Coturnix japonica: one gene and its partner. The protein of the gene in region 2 binds, or shares a complex with, the protein of the main gene of each other region. Links are inferred from orthologs where the notes say so. Each region holds a gene or a part of one and is shown on either strand. Other genes may lie near its edges. The genes, in order: CHCHD4 and AIFM1.

Region 1 (3,875 bases), on a different chromosome or scaffold from region 2:
TACAAGAAAAGACAATTTTTTTTCCCTTAATATTTCTGGTTTCTAATTAAAACAAGTCATGAAGAGGTGACTTTGAAAGAAAAAGAAAACACATTTGGAAAGTACATCATTTGTGCTGTCCTGATTTGGAAGTTAAGACTGAGAGGAGTCTGACTGTATAATTTACTACATAGTTTTCTCAGTTTACTGAATAAAATGTTTATTTACTGAAACCGCTGCCCTACTAGCTCAGTCTTTAAAAATGAATTAATATAATTAGCATATGAAATACATGGTGTATCAATCTCCGCTTTCATTCTGTTCAGCTACTTACCGTGTTCCTCATAAGGGTCATCTGGATCGTCTGCGACCAGCTCAGCACTGCTTGGTGTCTCATGGTCCTCCTTTGTCACAAAGATAATTTTGTCCTTTCCTGTTGTGTAGGAGACAATAAGCAAAAGATCAGGAAAAGCTGAGAGTAAGTAATTGACAAAGTGGCTGACCAGAACACAGTAATGAGATACTCAACATGATGCCCTGATGTTAATATTGAATGAATTCTACTTTCCTTATTGAGCATCTTCAATTACAAGTTGCTGGTTCACAGGAAAATGTGTATAAAGAGAATTGGGAAAGTATTCAAAGGGAAGGTACTGAAAGTTATAAAAGAACTGGAAATAAGGCCTAGGAGAAAATCAACCTACGCTTGAAAAGATGAGTAGTAATTTATCTAGAACAGAGAATAGAACTGAACCCATTGTCTTTGTACCACACCCATGTAACCGTAGGAAGTTATTCTCAATATTCAATAAGAACTGAAAAAGTCATAACCCACTAGAGATTTACAATAAATATTTGCATATGGCACAGTTATGCAATGCAAATAGATGCCTACAGAGACTGCACTGAAGAGAGATGTGATAAGACAGGTATTTGTTTCTAAAGGAGACCATAATCAGCATACAGGACTCACGGAAGCAGTAAAGGACTGCACACTATTTCCAAGCTGAGGCAGCATTTAACAGATGTCACAGAGAACTTGCTTTTTAACACCACCTTCTCCGCTCCTTCCCCTCTTTAACCGAGTCAGGGATCAGCACAGCACAGTGACAGGAGCTGGGTGCAAGCAACCCAAAATGAAGTACCTTAAGCAACACTGCCACTGAATATGAAGCCACAAATCCCACGTGGGTAAAAGAAACTAATTATTAAAGTCACAGCACCTTGTAGAAGAAACTAATTATTATGTTATACAGGAAGGAAGTGAGGATGAGGTGAACATAAAACAGTTTGGGAAGTCCTCTTTTAAAGCACTCATTACATAAGTAATACTCATTACCCATTTACATGTTAGAATATATAGAAACTACCAAATCCTTTCGCTCTAGAGTTCTGCTTTTCACAGCAAAGTACTGTAACAGCTGTAAATCACTGTACAGTTCACTGGATTGCAAAGTTAAAGAGCTGTTTTGAAACCATCTGAAACTACTGCTCTCTTGGGAGAACAAATTCAGCTAAAGAGGCTGGATGGAAATGGACCAAAAGTGAAAGGAAAAACTCTCCTGTGCTACAGAAAGCATTCAGCAGGATATTAATTAAGATCAGCAGCCTCCATTACAGAGTCATGTCATAGTCTATAATTATTATGTGAATTAAATACTAAAGAGCACTTTAACGGTCTAGAGCAGCCTGTGTTGAAAGGTGCTGCAAACATTAACAAGGGCAGAAAAACAGAGCGTACTTCCTGCTCTTGTGTCACTCTTGATTTAACAAAGTAGTTATGAAGGGGGAAAAAAAAAACAGGCTTGGCTGGCAACCAGGGCAAAGTTTCCCAACAACTCTGTAAGGTTGTAGAAAACTGCTTTAAGGCAGATACAGGCAGAAGAGAACATCTAACTGAAGCTTTTCTGAATGTATAACACAGCATTCACAGACTGGAATGAGCACCCCAAAGACTTCAGCTCCAAATTCAGAAAGGCCACTGCAATGACAAAGCACGTTATGAATTAGCATCTTCTTGTCCTTCAGCATGACCTCTACCAGAAAACGTTCAGTAATTCCCTTTCTTTGCATTCAGTCTCACAGAATCACAGAATGACCCAGGTTGGAAGGGACCTCAAGGATCATGTAGTTCCAACCCCCCTGCCTGGCAGGGCCACCAAACATACACCTTTACTAGATGAGGTTGCCCAGGGTCCCATCCAACCTGGTCTTGAACACTAGGTGTGAAAAGCAGATAAACCTGGATTCTTTCAAAAAGGGAAACTATTGTCAGCCGTGTGGCATTCCAGCCAACTTTACAGTGCAGAACAGCTGGGATTTCATACATGAAATGAACTAGAAGTGGATGAAATATCATCACTGCTAGCATGAAGTATAACTATAACCCCATCACCACAACTATAACATGAACTATAACTGCAGCTATCATTCATTTTGTAGGATGCCATAAGGCAATGGACAGAGCTGGTAAAAATACAAGATATCAATAAAGTGAGTTAATAATAATAAGGCAAAGAGAACCAGAAGTTATCACAGTATATAATCACTATCCAGAGTGACGAGTTTATCCTTTCAAAGCAGCACTCAGGACATTCTTTGCAGCATGAAACTCCACACCAAGGGAGGAAAGATAAATCACAATCCACAAAGGGGGAAAGATAAATGCATCCCCCAGGTTAGAAATGAAACGTGTGGTGCCCCACACCCACACAACCCGCGGCCTCCCCTCCACCCTTCGAGCGGCGCCGCCCCCGCGCCTCAGGGTGACATTGTGAGGACGCAGGCACCCACCTTCTTGCCTGCAGTAGGACATGGCGGAGCCGCCCGCTGCCTTTCACACTCAGTGCGATCGCAGACCGGCTCCGCGTCCTTCCCCTCCTCCTCCAACACCGCCGCAGCTCCACGCTGTGCCCGCTGACCTCCGGAAGAACACACACTGAACTCTAACACCAGGAAGCATACGCCCTCACATCGAGGTGGGCGCGGCTGCTGCTGAGCGGTTGTCGTTGGTGGATTCTCTGGTTTGTGAGGGAAAGAGGCCGAAGATGTCGAGGAATGTAAGTGATAAGCTCCTGTGGGGGATCCCAATAGCTGTCAGATCCCGCTTGGCTCCTCCAGAGGGGCCTCGCCTCCTCCCCTCTCTACCCGCTATTGCTGCTTGGGTATTACCCACAGCACAGAGCTGTGGTGCTCCTCACACCCTGTGTTGTTGGTGTTCTAATGTGGCAATGCTCAGCATAGCAGCAGAAGTTTGTTCTGAGAGCTCTTCTAGTCCCCCAAGGTGCAGTTATGGCAGGGTGTGCTGTGGGATTGCATTGTGGTATTTATAGCTGTGCTGTAGCTAGTCTGGAATTTGGGAGTATTACTCAGTTTGTCGCTGGGTGTGGATACCAAATAGGGAACGTAGAGACAGGCTGAAGGATGTGTGAAGGGATGTGCTTTGCCAATGCTATAGGCATTGTTTTTCTTAGTTAAGGTCTATTTACTGGCTGTATTTCTGGTATCAAAATTGGGACAAGGCATTTAGGGGGTTGGAACTACATGATCCTTGAGGTCCCTTCCAACCCGGGTCATTCTGTGATTCTGTGATTTAATAAGTGTGGGAAGGTTCAGCTCCAATGCAAGCAGTGCCGTTTAGCAGTGGTTAAGCAATTTAGCAAAGGTAAAGAGCTCCTTTTGAAACAGACCATCTGCTTTTATACCAATATTACATTTCTGGTTTACCTCCAACAGTTTTCTGACACAGGAAGCAAAAAAGAACATGTCAAAATCACCAGCGAGGCCAAGCCAGGGTTCCTGGAGAGGCTCAGCGAGACTTCTGGAGGCATGCTTATAGGACTTGGGACATTTCTTCTGTCCTTCTACCTTCTTTTTACCAATGAAGTAAGTGAAGT
Region 2 (3,815 bases):
CCAGGAATGGCAGTGGGAAAATGCTGCAATTTCCCCCTTTGAAATAAGAGTAACTCTTTTCCTTGACTTAGAATGGGAGACATGTTTCTCCTTCCTCTATTGCACAGAAAGAAAAAGAGAAACAGGAAAGAGAAAACCCAAACTGTCTGGCTTCCTAGTGTTTGGTGATGGGGAAAAACTTGCACAATCTCAGCATTTTCTCCCACACGTCAAGAGGAAATTGCAATGAAATCTCCAGGTTACAGCACACACAGTACTGTAAGAACACCACGTCCCCCATTACATTTCTGTTACACATCCCTTACACAGCTGAGCCGATCACAGCAGACCTGACAGTGACTGGACCAAGGCAAGTCCAGTGCAGGGCACGACATTCCCACAGGGCTCCTTGTCCTCAATTAATTCCCTGAACCAGACTAAGGAAGAAACTCCCTGTCTGTTGTAAACCCTACAAGACACGTGGAGCTTGTCAACAAAAAGCATCCCTCCAACAAAAACTAGGAGTCTGCCAACTAACTTCAATTCTTTCACCCACTTTCCCCTAAGGCGCAGGATGAAGGTGAAGAAATGCCATGAAGAAGACATTAGAGTATCTAAACTACCTAAGCTAACCCAAGAGCTAACACAAACACTCAGCTAAAACTTCAGTCTATGATAGGAATGTTTCAGGCTAAGGGGGAGGGCGAGGTCAGGCTTTATCCCATTCACCTGCTCAGGGAAAAGAATAAACAGCAAATGGATCCCTGGTTACCAGCTGAGGGGAGCTGGTAGTCAAGGCAAGGCTGTCCTGGACCCAATGCAGAAGAGTTAACAAGCTGAAAATGCTGGCAGTGTTTCTGATGAGCTCAGCCTCACCCCAGGTCTAGCAGTGCCTGTAGATTACCTTTCGGAACAGCGTCAGCCGTTGTTGTACATCTTTTCCTGCCCTTTCGATGGCGGGCAGGTTCCTTGGGGAACCACCTGAGGACAGGGTGGAAGGGAGGAGGGGGAAGACAGGGAGAGAGAAATGTTTGTGACTGCTGGCCATGTCAGCAATGCAGAGCCACCACCCATCTGGACTGAGCTTTTCAAGCTGTTACAGTATGCTCTATTCTCTTTTGCCCTCTGGTTTCCACCATGGAAGACCTTCAGTGCAAGCAGTGGACAAGTCTGCAGTCTGAGTTAAAACAAGCCAACAGAAACACCCCCCACAATCAACCTAATGCCATGCACCTTGCTCCACTGACTGCAGAGTCAGTTCCAAATTAACTACACAAGGATGTAACCGCTAGTGCTGGATGCTGCAGTGGTGCTCTACCAAGCTAAGAGCTGGGTGTTCTCCTTACTGCTGCTAAAGGCAGGATTTGAAAACCCCAGACTATAGAGGAGTGCCTTTACCCAGCTGCTGGGGCAGTCACCTTTTCCTCCTTCCCTGCTGCTTTTCACAGGGTAAAACTCTGAATGTCCCAGAGAAGCTGGCTTATGCAAAGCAAGTAAAAAACCCAGCGCCACCACGTTTGTCTGTATTATTGCCCTTCGTGTGACTGCTCTGCCACATGGCAGAAGCTTGTCACTTAATGCCACTGAAATCAAAAGCCCGACACAACATGAAGAACAGGAGATCAGAACAAAAGTCTCACCAGTCGCAATTAGACATTTATCATAGGATATCTGCGTGCCATCATTGAGTTTCACAGTGTTGCCTCTCACATCCATATGCACAACCTGCAAAGAAAACCAAGCAGGGCAGCTCAGGCTTCCACTCATTGTAGGACACCTACTTGAGTCAGATTGCACAGACTACCAAATAGAGAAGAATACTTGGAAGCACCATTTTCACACCTTTGAAATGCTCTGTAATTTTTCAGGGAGGGGGGAACTGGCAATAGGAATTCAGTTTCTTTTGGTAGCAATGACAGATTGGACTGATCACCGCAGGATATGAATGTAAGAAACAATTCAGCAGTGAGAAGACTACATTCTTTGTTTTAGCAAGATATAAAGAACTGAGGAAACCATAAACTCTTTTCCACCTTTCTGCTGCCTCTGTACTCTGCTCTTACTTATGCTGCAGTCCACTACTTTGATGATATTCTACTCACCTCACCTTCCAACTCATATGCAGCTCAGTTCCCATTTTGCCACACAGTCTTTAAGCTCTACATATTCTTATCCCACACACAAACTGTCTTCTTACCTTTAGCTACTACTCCTCATAGCTTCTCCTGCTTTCACACATGCTGTCCTTAATATTAGGGTAGTCCCTGATTCACTGTATACACGTTTCTGAAAACTGTCCACATTCTTCTCCTCAGCCAACCTCCACAACACCATCTACAGCTGTTTATTTCCAGCTCAGACACAGGCTCTGCTTGGGAAGAACTGTATGACATTAGAACGACAGCGAGACATGTAGTACTCACCTTCTTGCCACTGAGAACTGCTACTCCACCATTCTCTACAAAAGGCAAATCACGAGCCTGCACATAGAATGACGGTGGCTGGAAATATATACTGGGAAGAGATCAATTAGCAGATGTGTTCCAGTTACTCTTTGGTACCAGCTATACAGGAATCACCAATGACATGAAAACAACTGTGTGCAACCACAACAAGCCTCAGAAACAGCAAAGAACTAGTTGCTGCACATTGTTACATTCTAGTGTTTAGATCAGAAAGAGATACAGTCACGAATACCAAAGGGATCCGGTGGGATCCAAGGTTCCAGGAGCTCCATTCTGAACTGCAAGGCTCCATCCTCACCTCTACAATTAACTTATTTCACGGGATTTCTCCTACTAGTGGCATATTGTAGCAAAAACACTGTTGAGCTTGAAGCAGTGATTGAACACCTGGTGGGAAGGCAGGGCCAGCCCAGAGGAGCTCAGGTGCATGCAGTGTATCTGAGGGATGAAAGGGATGGAGTCAGGATATGCCTCTTCCCAGCCCTCATTTAAGGGTTGGCAGTGGAAGTAAGGGCATCTCTTGTTGGAGTTCCCTGCATGCTGGAGACCTTCTAAAGGTAAGCACGTTTTTTCCCCTTGTTTCTATACTGCTGCACTTGGGCTTATCCTCATTTGCTTTGGTCAAAGTATTTTGCCCCTCTATTATTATCGTACTTTCCATCGTGTTATAGCATTACACATACATCTAAGGGAATCACAAGTCTCAAATTCAATTTAGTATTGAGCTAACTTATATTAAGCTGCACTCTTCTTGACAACTACCATGCCTTACAGCCTGATCTGTTGCTTGACTGACACGTCTGTAACAGCTCTGCAAACCCACACTCCATGAATCTGCAGCTTTTTGAACTGCACAATGTAGTCACCTGGCCCAGTGCAAACACCACACAAATTCTGCCCACAGCATGCAATGCTCTGTTCCTTTTTGGATTAGTCAACCAACAATACACACAAATACACACACACCCAGGGCCTTCAGCACAAACACAGTGCTACCTGGTGATCTGCCTTCTGAGCATTTCAGGGCTCTCCAGTGGTTCTCTCATAAGACTACTTTAATCATCAGCAGCTTCTTTATAGACCCTCTTCTTTGTCTTTCCTGCCCAAGTGACACATACCTCCTTTCTTTGCCATTCCACTGTTTGAACCGTAGAGTTTCTGTCACGTGAGGATCATCTGAAAACCACAGCTCTTTGGAGAGAGGTGGACGCATGTAGGGCAGTGCAGGATCTTCAGACACAATCAGTACCTTTAAACAAGCAGTCATCAGACATGTCAGCTACACCAGTGCTGGCAAACATAGAAACATTACATAGGCTCTGAAGCAAGAATGCATTCAGCCATTTACAGAGATCTCTTCTAGAACAGGGC

Evidence for each region.
Region 1: the proteins of AIFM1 (region 2) and CHCHD4 are in contact, whole or in part, in a cryo-EM structure (PDB 9GQZ), measured with the Homo sapiens proteins. The link is inferred for Coturnix japonica from reciprocal best matches to the Homo sapiens genes AIFM1 and CHCHD4. Residues at the interface, in NP_004199.1 of Homo sapiens: Pro345, Tyr347, Ser500, Ser501, Leu502, Pro503, Thr504, Val505, Gly506, Val507, Phe508, Ala509, Lys510, Glu558, Asp559, Tyr560, Asn602, Ala605, Lys606, Phe608, Asn609, Ile610, His611; in NP_001091972.1 of Homo sapiens: Arg5, Glu7, Lys9, Asp10, Arg11, Ile12, Ile13, Phe14, Val15, Thr16, Lys17, His20, Thr22, Pro23.

What each region holds. Positions count from the first base shown.
Region 1 is NC_029527.1:8,345,624-8,349,498, forward strand, and holds the start of CHCHD4 (mitochondrial intermembrane space import and assembly protein 40), read right to left. Parts: upstream 2,917-3,875; 5' UTR 2,795-2,916; coding exon 2,773-2,794; intron 413-2,772; coding exon 314-412; intron 1-313. Other genes in the region: TMEM43 (transmembrane protein 43), read left to right, coding at 3,027-3,038, 3,715-3,864.
Region 2 is NC_029519.1:1,537,107-1,540,921, reverse strand, and holds part of AIFM1 (apoptosis-inducing factor 1, mitochondrial), read right to left. Parts: intron 3,694-3,815; coding exon 3,563-3,693; intron 2,494-3,562; coding exon 2,403-2,493; intron 2,348-2,402; exon of another isoform or gene 2,177-2,347; intron 1,705-2,176; coding exon 1,620-1,704; intron 961-1,619; coding exon 884-960; intron 1-883. UniProt on the Homo sapiens protein: Functions both as NADH oxidoreductase and as regulator of apoptosis.